Schizosaccharomyces pombe: one gene and its partners. The gene in region 1 interacts genetically with each later gene. Each region holds a gene or a part of one and is shown on either strand. Other genes may lie near its edges.

What was found. Genes that interact genetically often act in the same process or in processes that back each other up.
Region 2: mutations in ypa2 (region 1) and mph1 together harm fitness more than expected from each alone (negative genetic interaction), as found in Schizosaccharomyces pombe (2 studies listed by BioGRID).
Region 3: mutations in ypa2 (region 1) and SPOM_SPBP4H10.17C together harm fitness more than expected from each alone (negative genetic interaction), as found in Schizosaccharomyces pombe (2 studies listed by BioGRID).

Annotation. Positions count from the first base shown.
Region 1 is NC_003424.3:4,760,036-4,768,433, forward strand, and holds ypa2 (serine/threonine-protein phosphatase 2A activator 2), read left to right. Parts: upstream 1-4,392; 5' UTR 4,393-4,413; coding exon 4,414-5,472; 3' UTR 5,473-5,707; downstream 5,708-8,398. Other genes in the region: proteasome assembly chaperone Ecm29, read left to right, coding at 1-11; SPOM_SPAC1782.02C (uncharacterized protein), read right to left, coding at 266-616, 717-851; splicing-associated factor Saf3, read left to right, coding at 1,772-2,839; cox24 (mitochondrial 37S ribosomal protein mS38 ), read left to right, coding at 3,044-3,200, 3,243-3,613; prohibitin Phb1, read right to left, coding at 5,931-6,779; qcr8 (ubiquinol-cytochrome-c reductase complex subunit 7), read left to right, coding at 7,075-7,106, 7,296-7,313, 7,359-7,572, 7,676-7,690; exonuclease Rex3, read right to left, coding at 7,872-8,398.
Region 2 is NC_003423.3:371,794-376,792, forward strand, and holds mph1 (dual-specificity protein kinase Mph1), read left to right. Parts: upstream 1-2,000; 5' UTR 2,001-2,095; coding exon 2,096-4,132; 3' UTR 4,133-4,499; downstream 4,500-4,999. Other genes in the region: F-box protein Pof13, read left to right, coding at 566-1,756; srx1 (sulfiredoxin), read right to left, coding at 4,669-4,999. UniProt on the Schizosaccharomyces pombe protein: Involved in mitotic spindle assembly checkpoint signaling, a process that delays anaphase until chromosomes are bioriented on the spindle, and in the repair of incorrect mitotic kinetochore-spindle microtubule attachments.
Region 3 is NC_003423.3:2,906,678-2,910,439, reverse strand, and holds SPOM_SPBP4H10.17C (carboxyl methyl esterase), read left to right. Parts: upstream 1-1,819; 5' UTR 1,820-2,041; coding exon 2,042-3,067; 3' UTR 3,068-3,262; downstream 3,263-3,762. Other genes in the region: SPOM_SPBP4H10.19C (calreticulin/calnexin-like protein), read left to right, coding at 1-198; SPOM_SPBP4H10.18C (uncharacterized protein), read left to right, coding at 609-1,553; SPOM_SPBP4H10.16C (phosphatase activator), read left to right, coding at 3,316-3,762. UniProt on the Schizosaccharomyces pombe protein: Demethylates proteins that have been reversibly carboxymethylated. Demethylates the phosphatase PP2A catalytic subunit.

The sequences.
Region 1 (8,398 bases):
TAAGAAATTAGCTTCATTATATTTATAGCTAGTGATAAAGCTGATCAGCCATTTGAACTTTCTAAACACTCATTTCTAATGCTAACATTGTAAAGGATTAATTAAAGAATATTTTATACAAACCTTTGACTAATGTATTCATATTTGATTTTAAACCTAGAATGTAAGCGATTGATGTTGAAAATCCAATAACGATAATAATAGCTTTTACAACAAATAAACAACAAGTGAAGAATACTAGATGCCAGTCACTTGGTTTTTTTTTTTAAGATTCTTCAACTTCACGTGCTTTTCTAGCGGCTAATTCTTCGGCCTTTTTTTGGTTTTTCAAGTATTTAGCCCTCTCTTCGCTCATTGCTGCAAACATCCAAAACTGCCACATCAAATCGCAAAATGCAAAAGTAAAAGTAAGGCTGTTGCTAGCGATATGCTCTTTTTTGAGGTAAATAAAGCCGGTAAGGATAAAGTCAAATATAGCACGAATTGGAGTAATTCCACTGAAGAACAGGAAATTGCTTTGTAACAATGAGATAGTATAAATCATTCCAAGAATCAAAAATACCAAGCCGGACAATGCAAGAGTCGATAAGTTGTCTTGTGTTACTATCAATGGTTTCTAAATTATAATGGTCAGATATCACTTCAAACATTAATCAAGAAATTAAAAAAAAAAAAAAAATACTATCTACTAAAACAATAAAGTTATAATCACATACAACTTCCATAGAAGCACCAATTAACGCGACCAGTCCACTTTCTACTACAAACTTGGGATTCCATAAAAATCCAATGCCAGCAAATGTTAGCATACAACAATAAAAAAGAACTATCGCTCGAAAAGAGAACAACATCGTGAAATCAGAAGACGACAAATGAGCAACTATTAACTTCTAGAGACTGTACTCCGTGGTTTAGAAAGAGAATGTAAAACTAATAAGTTTTTTTCGGAAAGAAAATGTAGAGAGTTTCGATGAATATTTCGTTCGTACTTTTGTTTTCTCAACGTCGCACCAATTATATGCACCTGATTTTTGCTATTTTACGGTAGTATCAAGCTCTGGGAAGTATGTACTCTCAATTAATGGTTATATTACGATAGTTGAACTTAACTTCACTATTGTTGCTAGTTGCCAGCGCTCGCTATCTGTATTTAGAATTAGAAGGTGAATTGAATTGAGAAATATAATCAATATAACAAAATTACAAGTATACGTTTGGTTTTATTTCTTCAAAGTTATTTTGGTATGAAAAAGTGAGATGCTGACAGATTTCAAGTCAAGAACTCTATATTTTTTAAAACCACTTCAACGAATTTTAGGATCTTGAAAAGTACATCATTTTTACTAATTATAGGAGGGTATTTTCAAAGGATATATTGTATGTAGCATCTAAATAATTTTTATGAAGGTCTCAAAGGGTTGACAACGGTTGTTTTTGGAAATACATTACATTGACCATAAACTGAAACGATGTATTTTACAAAAGGCAATTCAATTTTACAAACTTTCAGCTAAATATAAATTATGCCAGGATTCTCGTTCATTTGACTAGAATGTGTGCTTGTGATATTTGTTCTCGCATTGGTAAGTGCCCCGAAACCTCTTTGTAAGTGGCACCGTACCACAAATTGCATACATACAATCTATTATATCAGATATACAGTTTTATCTTGGGTGGTAGATAATAGATATATAATTTCCAATTCATATTTATATTGTTTTACCGGTTGATTGAAATTTGCCAACCAATTTAATAAAAAGCGTTTGTCAAGATGCCAATAGATACACCGTTGATACCCCATAAACCTATTTCAAGATATCGCTCTGGTAGATTGGAAGGGCTGGAAAGTGAGTCTTCTTCTGAAAGTGATTATGAAGAAGTTTCCGATTCACATGATCAAGAAAACTCGATTTCTTCATCAAGACATGTTATTACTCCAGTATTCGAGAAAGAAGGAATATCTGAAACCAAAACGTCTTCTAATTTCCAAAACATTAACCCAGTCCAAACAATTGATAACTCTGCTTCAGAATATGAGACTGACGCATCATCGGCAGAAGGGGGATCTAACTCTGCAGCATCTAGTTCTGAAGAAGAAGACTCTTCTGATTCGGAATATGAGATGGAGCTGAGAAGGCGGACACTTCTTCTTCCGCCAAAATTTACTAGTAAAGTCATCAAAAATCGGGCAAAAGCCAATGAAGAAGATACTGAGGTGCTTAAAAAAGTGACTTCACAAAAAATATTAGAAGAGACTATAAAACGGGAATTACTATTGAAAGAAACTAAAAACAATAATGAATTATTAAATGATATCGATGATACCGATGGAATTGATCCGCAAAGTGAATATGAATTATGGAAATTAAGGCATTTGCTTAGGAAAAAGAGAGACAAGGAAAAGTCACTGGAATTAGAAAGGGAAAAGATGGCAATTGAAGAAAGAAGATTAATGAATTCTGAGGAACGCGAAGCCCAAGATTTGAAGGACGCTGAAGCAAGTCGGAGAGGAAAGAAAAAGTCATCTATGCAGTTCTTACAAAAGTACTATCATAAGGGTGCATTCTATCAAAACGAAGATATTGTGAGTAAAAGAGATTATTCAGAAGCCACAGAAGGGGAAGTTCTTAATAAAGATTTATTACCCAAACCTATGCAAATTAGGGGAGATCTTTTTGCGAAGGCAGGCCAAACACGCTGGACGCATTTGGCAAATGAAGATACTACAAAAGAAGGATCTGCTTGGTATGATCCTAAAAACCCAATCTTGCAAAAAAATTTGCATCGTCTCGGTGGACTTCATTCTGACAGCCCACTCTCGAAGCGAAAACGTACCTAACATCTGTATATACATAAGGACAATTTTGTATTTCATTTAGCATTAATTTTATTTAACATCACATATATATTTAAATACAACATTCTTCTGAATTAATATCAAATGTGCACCACCCTTCCTCTTTGTAAGTGTTTAGCATAAGCATACCAATTCTTACCTTCCCGCAGTGCAAAGAGTACAACACATTTTTCGCCTTGGTCACCCATGTTACGAAGAGGTGCGCTTTCCACAATATTAAAAGGTTTAAACGGCCTTTCACTGCGTAGTCCCATACCGATTTGGCATGTTTCAGCTTCTCCCGAAGTTGGGTCGAAATATAACCTACCAACGGTTCCTACAACTTCACACGTTTCATATCGTCGTAAGTAAATTAAATACTTCTATTTCTAACTTCATTGCGTAGAAATCGCAAAAGCAAATTTCTTTGCTGGATATCGACCTTTGTCAGCTAATCAAATATGTGTGCCTAAAGTTGAGTCCAAAACACAAGTTTCGCAATCGCAGGATGAGGAAGATCAACCCCAGGAATATGTGTTATCTTTAGAGGATGGCTATTTGTATGCTCAATCATTCTCTGCATCTGGATCCGTAACTCAAACTCAACCCGCTCGTATATCTACTCAAGTATGGGAACAAATATGTGATAAGCTGATTTCTATTACACCTTTAGATTTGACCAGTGTCAAACGAAAAAGAAAATTGAAAATGAATAAACATAAGTTCAAAAAGCGCTTACGCCGACAACGAGCACTTAGGAAACGTCTAGGAAAATGAGATTATTAGAACTTATTTTTACTCGGGTTATATTTTTAGGTTGGTTGGATTGAGAGTTTAAGCTGTAAACAAGCATTTTCAAAATGGCTGCAAGCATTTATGAGTCTCTATTTTTAACTTGGATATCAGTACCTCTCTTTTCTTAAGAAACGTTTAATCATTTAATGTTTACTTCAGGCTTTTTTAACAAGGAATACATTTTCTCTCATGTATATTCTATCCTTTAATGTTCCGGTATGAGACAATTAGGTCGGTGCTTTTTTCTTGCGATAAAATCATTAAACAATCCGCGTTTATTTAACTATTTTCAAAAAGCGGAGCACTTATTTGTTTATGCCGGCTATCTCCTTCATATCAATTAGCTTCCCATGTCTAGTACTATTACAATACCTCCATCTTTGGCCCTTCCTTTTTATATTTTTAAATATTTGTCGATGGCTAGAATTAATGACATGTACACTTCATGTGAATCATAAATATGTTGTTGTATATCAAGCAATTAATAAACGCTTATTACACTGTATCTGTTTACACATAGAATAAAAGAACACATTGGTATGAAAAATAACTTTAGTAGTCGAAATTATTTCCTTAAAACAATTTTGAAAAAAAAAAAAAAAATTTCTACATTTCTTTCTTTAAAAAATGTTCTCACTGATTATAGCTAATTACAATAATGAAATGTAACGTACTGACGACTGACATAACAAATAACAACATAAGGAATATTGAAGAGCGTCCAACTGTATAATTTTTAAGGCTTTTGTTAATCTTGTCTTAACCGATCAAGTTATGCCAACATGCTTTCTAGAGAAGAGCAAAACCGGTGTTTCGTTCCTGTCCGACGAATTTTAGACAATGAAGACTTAAAATTATTTAAAGAAGGAGATGCTTATAAGTTAATTGATTCGTTTATTTGTGATCTTGACGAAGCTGTGAAAGACAAGCCTATTTCAGCTTCAATTCCGCAAAGCTCATCAATAGAGCATGTATTAAATATACTAGATCGAGTTGGAGAAATTAAACAGGAAAATCCTGCAATTGATAATATGGGGTCGAGGTTTGGCAATCCTGCATTTCAATCATTTTACGATCAGGTATACATTGAAACACCAAAGTTGCACCAAGTATTTGGAATTGAGCATAATGCGGCGATGGAGGCAGGTCGATATTTTTATGAAAGCTTTGGAAACAGAAAGCGAATAGATTATGGAAGTGGTCATGAACTTTACTTTATGTCATGGTTACTAATTTTAAAGCAACTAGGCATTTTTACTAAAAATGATTATCCAGCATTGGTCGTTCGAGTTTTTGTTAAGTATGTTGAATTGATGAGGTCTTTGCAAATTTTTTATACTCTCGAACCAGCAGGATCTCATGGTGTATGGGGATTAGATGATTTTCATTTCCTCCCTTTTTTGTTTGGTGCAGCTCAGTTGGTTAATCATAAATATTTGCGTCCCAAACATGTTAGAGATCCAGAAATTTTGGAGATGTGTCGCGCTGATTATATGTACTTAGGTTATGTTTACTTTTTAAATAAGTTGAAGCCTTCTGTTTCACTACGTTTCCATTCTCCAATGATTGACGATATTTCTGCCGTAAAGACTTGGTCTAAAGTCAACGAAGGCATGATAAAAATGTATAGAGCAGAAGTTTTGGGTAAACTTCCTATAATGCAGCACTATCTTTTTGGCCATTTAATCCCAGCTTCACCTGGGATGTCTCCTGCTCCCCAAGACGGTGATGATTCTGAGGTGACACATGTTCATTCTCATTATGCTGACTGTTGTGGCATCAAGATACCAAGTGCGATCTCTGCTGCCAAAAATAATGGAAGTAGGATTCCGTTTGATTAAAAATTCTCGAGGGAAAAAAGGCGTTTTTAACGAATCTTCACGAATTTATGCGATACCCATATTTGTCTGTTTACTTTAAAAGTAATATCTAAAGTCAATAAAATTACCAACAGTACAGCATATTTGTTTATTTCATTATGCTAAAAAAACTCTACATAAACAATCAACCCTAATTTTAGCAGCATTAATATAGCCATTTCATCAGCACAAAACCCAAAATAATTGTCGTTTTAAAAATAAGGTGACAAATCATAATTTTGAGTTCTGAAATAAAAAAATTTGGAAATATTTATTTTCGTTAAGAACCCAAATTTGTCAAAATCATAATGCGTGGAAAAGTACAACTTTTATATAACATCTCTTTAATTTTAAAGGGATAATAAGATAAAGCTGATATGTTTAGGGGAGCTCGAATAAACCTTATGAATTTGCTGCTAGAAGCAGATACATGGAATGAATTAAGGATTTACATTAAGAAGCAACCCAGAACCACTGGAACTTTGGGCATTAGAACCAGCTCCAAAGGGAAGATAAGTGACCTGTGCACCTTTATTAGCAAGTGCAGTAGCCACCTCTTTACTTGTCTCGAGACGACGAATTTGGATTAAAGCGCCACCGGCTTTATCAAGTGCTTTGGAAACAATATCAGCCGCTTCTGCTTCACCCTCAGCGCGAATAACATTAGCTTGTCGCTCTTGTTCGGATTGTTCTACTAAAAATCTAGCACGCTCGGCTTCTTGTTGAGCAATTTGTTTTCTCTCTACGGCTTTCGTAAATTCTTTTCCAAAAGTCATATGAGTAATGGATACATCTTCCAACCGAATTCCAAATTCGGTAGCTCGTTGAACTAGTTCTTGGCGAATTTTGGCAGAAACTACTTCTCTTTGAGTAATGAGCTCTGCTGCATCAAACTGAGCAACTACGGATTTTAAAATTTCGTTTCCAATAGAAGGTAAGACACGCTCATCATAATCTAAGCCTAAATTTTGGTAAATTTGAGGAAGCATTCCAACTTCGGGACGGTGTAATACACGCAATGTTAAAGAAACCATCTGTAAATCTTTACTACCCGTAGTAGTTGCGATATTTCGTGGACGTGTGCGTACATCATAAACAATTGCCTTTTGTAACCATGGAATCAAAAAGTGTGTGCCCTCCTGAACAACCTGTTTCTGCACACCCGACAGACGGTCAAACAAAACTGCTCTTTTTCCCCCCGGTACATCGTAAATCGAAGATTGTAATAGAGTAAATCCAATACCTATTGGTATTGCATAACGTGCAACTCTCTCCAGTACTACAGCCATCTCTTTAATAGTACGTTGAGCGCTGGACTAAAAGACCAAACTGAAAGGGAAGTCCGTTTGAGCAAGACTAAGTATGACTTAACTGCAACCTCTAGGAAAATCTATATTCATGATTAATAAATACATGATCTTATTATTTAGAATTTTAATAGTAAAACTAAATAAAAATCTTGAATAAAAAACCAAGAATTTGTAAACGTCTGAATTATTATTGGTCTAGCAGACCCGCACACTTACCCTTAACAAACATCTGACTTTGTAACGGCAATCATCAATATATTATTGTTTTAACAAAATGGGTGGTGCTGCTGGAGGAAAAACTTATTTGTAAGTGCAACTTAAAGCAGTTTCTGTTTATAATGGGTTATATGACTTTTCTTTGACGCTTATAGCGTGAGACGGTGGACACAATTGGTGTTTATTTCGTAAAGCCATTTTCGTCAGCGAAGTTATATACATTCAAATAGCTGCTGAGAATATCATTGAACGTTTTTATTTATACTAACACATGAATAGAGGATGGTGGGGCCATCTGTAAGTGCTATAACAATTTGATACATTTTTACTTACTTTAATAAGAGGTGGACCTAAACAAAAAGGAATCATAACATATTCCCTTTCCCCATTTCAACAGAGACCAATGGCCGGCTTCTTCAAAACTTCTACGCAAAATATGTTTCGTCGCGTCATGACTGAAGGTCTATACGTAGCAATTCCGTTTGGAATAGCTTACTATATTTACTGTTGGGGGAAGGAGCGTAATGAATTCCTCAATTCCAAACATGGAAGACACGTAAGTTAATGACTGAAGAATCGATAAGCAGCTATGGTTTGCAGCATTTTTCTATACTTCTAAATTGTGTCAATAATTGTCATTTTACTAATATGTGGTTTAGTTGGTGGAGGAATAATGATGAGAATGAAGTATTCATTTTGGTAGAAGGATTTACAAAATTCTTCCCTACCCTTTCCTTATTGGGTTTACAATTACTATCTCTCTCCTCTCATTATGCTTAGTATCAGAAATCTATATATCCAACAAAATTACTTTGTGATATGATCTATCTCTTGAATTTGAAAACATTATTACTCTTAGTTTTGACTTTCATTTGATTTTGTCTTATAAAAGACAAGTTGTAATGCTGAAACAGCGTCTTCTTCGCTATCGTGTGTAGAAGTTTGTATTGTTGTTCCCAGATATTTTTTAGTCAAATATTTTAAGGAATATCTAAACGGCGGGCCTCTGGCATGCGTAAATAGAAGAGCAGTATCTATGACACGTTTGTGAATAAGCCTCATCGCATTCAAATCGTTTTCTAAACCATGTCCTATTAAAATTGTATTTTTATTCATGCCAAGTTCCTTTATTTTAATATACATTTGATCCATGGTAATTCCTGATTCTAATTCTTTGGCATCATGTATCCCGCTAAATCGAGTATTGAGACTCAAAATTTTGCCTTTAGGCTTTATAAACACATCCATAATAATGCTTTCCTTTGCTACCACCGTCAAACGAGCCAATTCCATCCCGTTCGTAGTGTAGCATAGTTCACAATCTAACGCGCAATGACTTAATTGCTTGCTATTTGTACTGTCTGGTAAGTAGGAAAATGGAT
Region 2 (4,999 bases), on another chromosome or scaffold:
CAAGAAACCCAATGCGCCTTTAAGTGTGAATAGCTACAGCAATCAGCAAGTCAAAGCAAAACGCATTCTTGTCTTTAAAAGAATTTATTTTAATCAATATAACAGTTGAGTTTGGGAATAATTCTAGAGAATGAAGATGTTGTTAGCAATCCTCTTTTCCTAAAACACCCTAACCTACTCCATTTCGTTGAAAAAATAAACCACTTCCCCAATTCTATGATTTTGGGATTTTTTTTGGGACTATATTAGAGAATTTCTTGTTTTATATATATCAACAGGAGCTCATTAACGTCAACACTTGAAAACAAAAAGTATTTGTCAATTATAATTATCACGAGGTTCATTATTGATTTTTCCCGAATAAGATTATCTCCAACCAAGAAAACGGAATCTTTGAATCTAAAAAAACACATTCTTTACGTTTCTTAACATTCCTCGGCATAAATTGTTCTCTTTTGAAAAAATCGTTAGCAAAAGAGTTGCTGAATCGCAAACAAGCTACGAAAATTGCATTATCTTAAAAGAAATTGTGTAAATAACAATTTATAAAGTATTTCGGGACTTTATGAGGCCGACACATTGGTCGAGTAATCAGTGCGAAGTGGATTTTACAGCTGAAGCTCTCACAACCCTTTCTTTGTCAAACCGGAATCATGAGGAAGATCCAATTCAACCTGTGTTAAAAAATTCCAATTTATTTCTCTTGAACAGAGACATATGGTCCTTGATCATTAATTATCTTGATGCATTCGATATATTACGCCTGATGCATTCAAGTAGGCAGTTTTACTATTGGCTTCGTAAATCAGCTGTCGATGAATGCTGTTTTAATAACAATTTTCTTAATTTACAACCTTATCAACGTACAGTTCCTGTTGCCAGTGATTTAGAATGGGCTACTGAAGTTGATCTCTACGGAAACCCACCAATTTTAAAACTCCAACTTCGCGATTCATTTGTCTGGTCAATGCTTGCCAAATTCCAGGGACTTCAGACCATTGCTTTAGACGGAACAGGTGTTACCATTTCTAGTGTAACGAATATCTTGCTGAACATTCCTACCGTTAAAACCTTGAGTATAAGATGGTGTGTTGGTGTTTGCTCTCTATCTCTCATTGAGTTTCTACAAAATTCTAAAAGCAGGACATTTTCATTGGAAAATCTATACGTCCTTGGTGTTAAAGGATTAGAATTACTAAAACCTGTTTTGCTTGATGGCTCTGAGGATGACACATTAACAAGCAATTGGCATAGTCGAGTAATTTTATTTCAAAATGCTTTAGACGCTTTACCAACTACTCATGGTAACCCAGTCGAATGCGATATTTCACGTTGCCCTTTGAATGCATGCAAAATTGCAGGTCAGGAAACTGAGCTTGCCGATCTTTTTTCTTTGCAAAAAGTCCCTGCTTGTATCTATTGCTTAAGGGAATGGAAGAAGCCGATTTGTCGTTATTGCATAGATTTAAGAAGTTGTTTGGTTTGCGATTCATTTGTCTGTCCTTCCTGCATATCGTTGGATTTTGATTTGCAAATACAAGCATTTGCTCGTCAACACCGTGTAATATCTACTTTAGGTGTTGTTTATCCTGAAAGAGAAGACTCTTGTTTCCATAAGATCAAGGCCGCCCAATGGCATCAGATCAGTCCTAGAAGTCTTTTGTTCCAATTCCAAGAGCAGAACCATATTCACCACAAAAAGATTCGCAGGAAGCTGTTAGCGGCTGGATGGAAATGGCCTCAATCACAGATATAGTAAGGGCAAGGCGACCTAGGTGAAAAAACTTTTTACTTTCACAACTCTTCTTTTTCTTTCATGACTAGTCTAATAATGATCTTATGCCATTCTTACTCAGAATTTTCGTTTTCATAACCATGCGAAACTCGTAAAATAATGATATACACTGAAGTAGCTAGCATTGCGTTAGAGGGTGATCTTTGTAGTAACATAACATTTTGAAATGTGCACACTAATGGTTGCTCTGCTGTTCGTCTTTTCTAGCTATTCTTATAACGAAGTAAAAATTTATTGATTAACGCTTAACAAACAGTTGGAAATTCGGTTTGGAATGCTCGTTTTTTAGTAACTGTGTTTATGTCTAAGCGCAATCCTCCTGTGACTAATATCGCGGACTTGGTGTCAGATTCTTCCTTAGATGAAGACTCGCTTTCTTTTCTCGAAGAGCTTCAGGATCCAGAATTATACTTCAAAAATGACACTTTCTCTTCCAAGAGTAGCCATTCTGATGGCACCGTTACTGGGGATACGTTGCGTAGGCAGTCAAGCGGTGCAACTGCTTTAGAGAGATTGGTCTCACATCCTCGTACTAAAAATTTTGATTTGCAAGGAAATGGAGGACAAAATTCTGCTTTGAAGGAAGTGAATACTCCAGCATATCAGTCAATGCACCATTTCGAGCATTTAATAACACCCTTGCCCTCTACTAATGCGTCTCACAGTGAAGTTTCACTCAGTGCAGGAGTGAATGATCTCAATTCTAATTCGGAGCATGATTTGTTACCTAAAAGTGTAAACAAAACCCCCGGTTCTTTATCAATTTCAAGACGACGAAGAATCGGCAGAATTGGATTAGGCCCTCCAAAGCGTGCTGAGTACACGTTGACGGATCCCTCGAAGACTTCCGATACCAAAAACTCTACAGAAGCAGATGAGGATATTGAAATGAAATCTCGAGAAGTATCACCAGCTTCCAACTCTGTTGCTGCAACAACTTTAAAACCTCTGCAGCTGCATAACACTCCTTTGCAAACATCCCAGGAGCATCCCAAACCTTCTTTTCATCCTTCTCAGTTTGAGAGCTCTTTTTCTCCTAGGGTGCAGTTTGATCACGATGTTGAAAGAAGAGCTAGTGAACTTCATTCTCGTCCAGTCACCGTTTTCCAAGAGCCTCAGCGTTCTGCTTCTCAACCATATGAATCTCATGCTCTTTCTCCAAAGGTGGCTCCGTTATTTGATAACAGTCAAGCTACTCCCATACCCAAGCGTCAGCAGGACGTTGTTACTGTTGCCAATCTACAATTTATCAAATTAGGAGTTGTTGGAAAGGGTGGAAGTAGTATGGTATATCGCATATTTTCCCCCGATAACAGTCGTTTATACGCTTTGAAAGAGGTGAACTTTATTAATGCAGACCAAACTACTATACAAGGATACAAGAACGAAATTGCATTATTAAGAAAGCTTTCAGGCAATGATCGCATAATTAAATTATATGCTGCCGAAGTTAATGATACTTTAGGGCAACTCAATATGGTGATGGAATGCGGAGAAACGGATTTAGCAAACCTTTTAATGAAAAACATGAAGAAACCCATTAATCTTAATTTCATCAGAATGTATTGGGAGCAAATGCTAGAGGCGGTCCAGGTAGTTCATGATCAAAATATAGTGCATTCGGATTTGAAGCCGGCCAATTTCCTGCTTGTAGAAGGGAATTTGAAGCTGATTGATTTTGGCATTGCCAAAGCAATTGGTAATGACACCACTAATATCCATCGTGATTCCCACATCGGTACTATTAATTATATGGCACCTGAAGCTTTGACAGACATGAATGCTCACACAAACTCTGGCGTGAAACTCGTAAAGTTGGGCAGGCCCAGCGACGTGTGGAGTTTGGGATGTATATTATATCAGATGGTGTATGGGAGGGCCCCGTTTGCTCATCTAAAAATGATCCAAGCTATAGCAGCTATCCCTAATGAACAATATCACATTCATTTCCCCGAAGTTGCCTTACCTGCTAATGCTGTCCAGGAGAAAGAGGGATCGTTGCCAGGTGTAACTGTCGGGCCTGATCTAATGGATGTTATGAAAAGATGCCTGGAAAGGGATCAACGGAAGAGACTTACAATACCGGAATTGCTGGTTCATCCCTTTTTAAACCCTTTGCCATCCTATTTGACACCTTTGGCCAAAAAGCCGTTACCTGTTTCTGGGCACACCAATAATGCTCATCCACTTAGACTCAGCACAGAAATCTCAGCTTCTCAATTATCAATGATTATAGAAAGGTCGGTGGAGTTGAGTAAGCACAAGCGATTAAATAAGGAACTTATTGATAGCATGGCTTATGATTGCGTTAGCAATTTACGAAAAATGCCAGAATAGAGGCACTAAATTTTCCGATTATTCTTAAAAAGGTTTTATCTTTTACAAAGTTTCCCAAACATCATACGAGTTTCTTAATGTTAACGACTTTTTTAGGGAGCTTAAAGGCTTTTTTTTTTTAATCTTTAATTTTTCGCTCTTTTAAAAGAAGGTAATTATGACCTTGATTAATGAACCACATATTATATGGCCCCTGATATCTATACTTTGATACTATGTAAATATAAAGAACGCTATACTCCCAAACGCTATAAGTTGTTTGTTTACGATATAATACCTTTTTGTGTTTGTTTTTTTTAGGTAAAGCAACCAAATGAATGATGCTTTTTTATAAGAAACTTTTTTAATATAATTGGGTTATATTAGACATTAAAAAAAAACCCCATAACTAATGTAAAACAAAAACCTTTAAAAATAATGTACCGCCGGTAGAGATGATTATTAACGCCATAAATGTTGGTGCAGGAAGGGAATAAAACAGGTTCAATGGAATATCGATAATCCTAAAAAAACTTGTGAAAAAATCTAAGTTAAATCTAATCACTATCCAAAAATTTATTGGCAGAAGCACCCAGATACAGGCGTAGAGTGTTAGGGGAGCAATTTACCAATTTGCAGCGAACCTTTTTGCGCCCTGCTTCATCGTGAGCACGTAGTCGATGACAGCCCCCAAAGGCAAAATAATAAGGCTTCCCACTCTTTTTAAACGTTAAAACATCAACAGGAGGAAGCTCACCAGCTTCCAAATCTTCTGAAGTCAAACCGCATGAAGCTGGAGGAGTTTTCCCTGTCATGGTTTCCATCATACTATTGACTTTGTTCATATCTAAAACAGGAGGTATAGGACGAATTAACTCAGACATATCA
Region 3 (3,762 bases), on another chromosome or scaffold:
GTTAGCACGATTTACGGAAATTTCAAAAACTTGTACAACTGTATCAAAAGAAATACCATTGGTTATATTTACAACTCTATTTATGACTTCTGGATCACTGAAGGTATGCTTTTCCCAATGAGGAATATGGATATTTTTAAGATCACAGCTATATCTATTGGGCTTAGTATTCCGGTTTTTCTATGGTTGTTAAAATAATTCCCATATGGAGCATTTTGTTCTACTTTCTCATATATATTTTGCAGATGTGATCCCTATGATTTTGTATGGCTATTCATTTGAATACTTTCAATGAATGTTTTCTCCTGAAAAGCCATAATGTTCGTTAATGTAATATTATTATTAGACAAGTTTATTTTATTTAATTTATCATTGTATTTTTTTTTCAAGTTAATTTTTCAATTAATGGTAATTATCTTGCTAATTTAATTACTTATTTCACAAAAAAATATATGAATACATTTATTTTCTTGTAAATCCAATGTTGATTTACTGGAATCTACTTTGTGTTTATAAATAAGTCGAGTAATTGATTGTACGTTAGTATTCAGCTACAGCTGTTCATTTTTCGATTATTGGAACTATATTCACTACCACCATTAACTAACATGGTGGCCTCATTAATTAAACGAGCAAAAGCTACATCTTTACGAAGTTTATTTCAAAAAAATGAGATGAATTTCCAAAGCATTAGATTTAATATCCATCAATTTTCTACCCAACCAGCTTTACGATCCGAAGGCTCTGAATTGATTTTTGGTGGACGATCTTTCGATTCATTGCTTTCTTCCATTAAAGAAACAATGGAAGAGAAAAAGAAAAAGAGTTCTTCTTTTGAGAAAAGGGATAAACGGCGTGTTCAGCTAAAAGAAAAATCCCCACTTCGCACTCCGCGTAACAGAACACAAATAATCGATGCCAGATCAACGAGGAAGGATACCGAGAACGAGAGTCTGAGGAAAAATAATTTTAAACGAAGAACACAGTTTGCATTTACTGGAAGAGCCACTAAGTCCAATGCTGGTGTTATGGATGTGCAATCACCATCTACAATGTCCACATCAAAGAATAATGTAAGAAATGCTGAACGTCCAGCATCAAAAAAGCCCGTATTTGGCAGCAAGAAATATTTTGACGTTATTAATGACAGCAACGTTGAAAACAAGGAAGAGACTAAGGATAGGAACTTAGATCGTGCTTTATCTAAGTTTACCCAATCCAGAGAGAAAAATGAGCAGAATCTTTCAAGTAAAGCGTCAGTTTTAAGAAACAAAAAGTCAATCTTGTTAAAGAAAAGAAATCAAGATGAAACTCAACTGACTACTGAGGAGGATTTTTCTGCCAATAATGATTCTACCGCAAAAATAGAGACCAGTATCCACGACCACAGAGATATTTCTAGAATAACACCTTTTGAACTTCCTTTTGTTAATCCAAAGCTGTTTGCTAGCTTTACTCCAATGTCGGTAGCTCTACCAGCTGGACGATTACTACTAATTAAACAGTTGCAAGAGAAATCTACCCAATCATCTTCTATGACAGGTCTCAAATAAAACCAGCTTATTGCCAAAAGTAGATAATACATTCATCTACTCATATTTTTGTCTCATACTAGCATAAAAAGTATAAATTAATTATGATTTTCAATCTTACTTTTACCATTGTATTTTAGTCACATTTGTCTGTAAGGAAAAATAGCGTTGGTGTAAAGCGAGGTAACATATTTAAATGTTACGTCGTTAATTTTTTTACGTAGGCGATGGAAGGCGTGTAAATCATTTGAGCATTGAGGAATCCGCAGTAAGTACAGGAAACTTCCACTGCATATTATTTACTCAACTTAGCTACCTGGGGAATACACATTGTTTGTTTTAAAATTTATCGATTTCAGAATTACATTGAATTAATTTTTTTTTTTTTCAATCAGGTCCGTTTCTGCTTCTGGGATTGTATATTCTATCTTCATAAAACCAACGAGGAATTCGTGTGAACTATTTATAGTGCTGCGTGTAAGCTAAAAAAGATATTATAATACTTTATAATGGCATTTCGTAAAGAAGAACTCAGTCAAACACTCTATGAGAATGAATCTGAGCAATCATCCGAAACCAAGGAACTAATGTTAAATAATGAAGAGAGTTTAAGCGATTGGCGAAATTACTTTGATGAAAAGTTAACAATTCCTGGTGAAAGTGGGGCTTTGAATGGGACTATCAATGGGTACTTAACACTTCCACAACCAGATGGTTGCTTACTTGTTTTGCAACACGGTGCTGGCTCAAGTGCCATGTCATTTGCACCGGTTACACAAGAGCTCTTGAGTAATTCAGATAATAAGGTTGGTTTTTTAGCGTTGGACCTTCGAGCTCATGGAGAAACAACGTTAGAACCCGAATCAGATATGAGCTTGGAAACATTATCTAAGGACTTTACTCACGCAGTCTCCTATGTTCAACGTATGTTTGAGCTTGATGAAAAAATCATTTTGGTCGGACATAGCTTAGGAGGTGCCATTTGTGCTTACTGTGCTTTTCAAAAAACTATTCCCAATACTTCTGGACTTGTTGTCATTGATGTGGTTGAAGGGACTGCGATGGAAGCATTGGGTTTTATGAAAACGTACCTCTCTAATCGTCCTACTAGCTTTAAATCAATTGATGATGCAATTTCTTGGCATATCAAGACTTTAGTTACTAGAAACAGATTATCGGCCTGTATTACAGTTCCTTCACTTCTCGTTCAGCAGGAAGATGGCACATTCGTTTGGCGAACCGATCTTTACAAAACATCGCCGTATTGGATGGACTGGTTTAAGGGTTTAAGTGACAAATTCCTAAGAGCACCATATGGAAGGATGCTTATTGTCGCTGGTACCGATCGTCTAGATAAAACGTTAACAATTGGACAAATGCAAGGAAAATATCAACTTGAGATTCTTCCTGAAACTGGTCATTTTGTTCATGAAGATGTTCCCGCTAAGATTTCCTCTCTACTTTTAAATTTTTGGCATCGCAATCAACCTTTGGTTTTACCTCCCAAAGTTGGTGCTACTCCTGTTCTACAGTAATCTTAATGATTTAACGAACTTTATTATACACTAAGAAAAATGCGTTATATAGTGGAGTATGTATGGTCATATAACGTTGTGCTGTGCAGGTTGCGTAGGCATCGATATCAAAGGCACCGCTTTCATAGTACCTATAAGTACGTTGCATTCGCATATATGATTGTATCTTTATTTATCATTACCCTTGATTAAAAAATAATTTATTTTATTGAAACTTCTCTTTTAAACACTCGAATTTTTGTGCCTTCATGTCTGTGATAACTCAGGCTCAGGAAATACCTACTGTAGCAGCCAATCCCGATTTCAATTATGAAGGAGATCCTATTATTATTCAATTATGCGATCGTGACACAGTATTTGAATTGAGTAGAGATCAGCTTTTAGGCCTCCCGGAATCCATCTTGATGTGTTTATTTCCTAGAGGCCTGTTGTTGGATTATGAGATTCAAGAATGCCAACTGACTCAAAGGCCATTAATATTTCAAACAGCTGACTTTGATCCTTCATTACTTCAGTACATATTAAATTATTTTCAAATGGCCGAAAATCGTACCGCTAATGATGAAATTGCATTATCACCACCTCCACCTTCTTTTCCTGGAAAATGTGGTATAATTCTGTTAAAAGAAGACATTGAGTTTTTTATCCTCCCACCCATTTCACCAACCACCAATATTGCCATTGAAGTTAGTCCG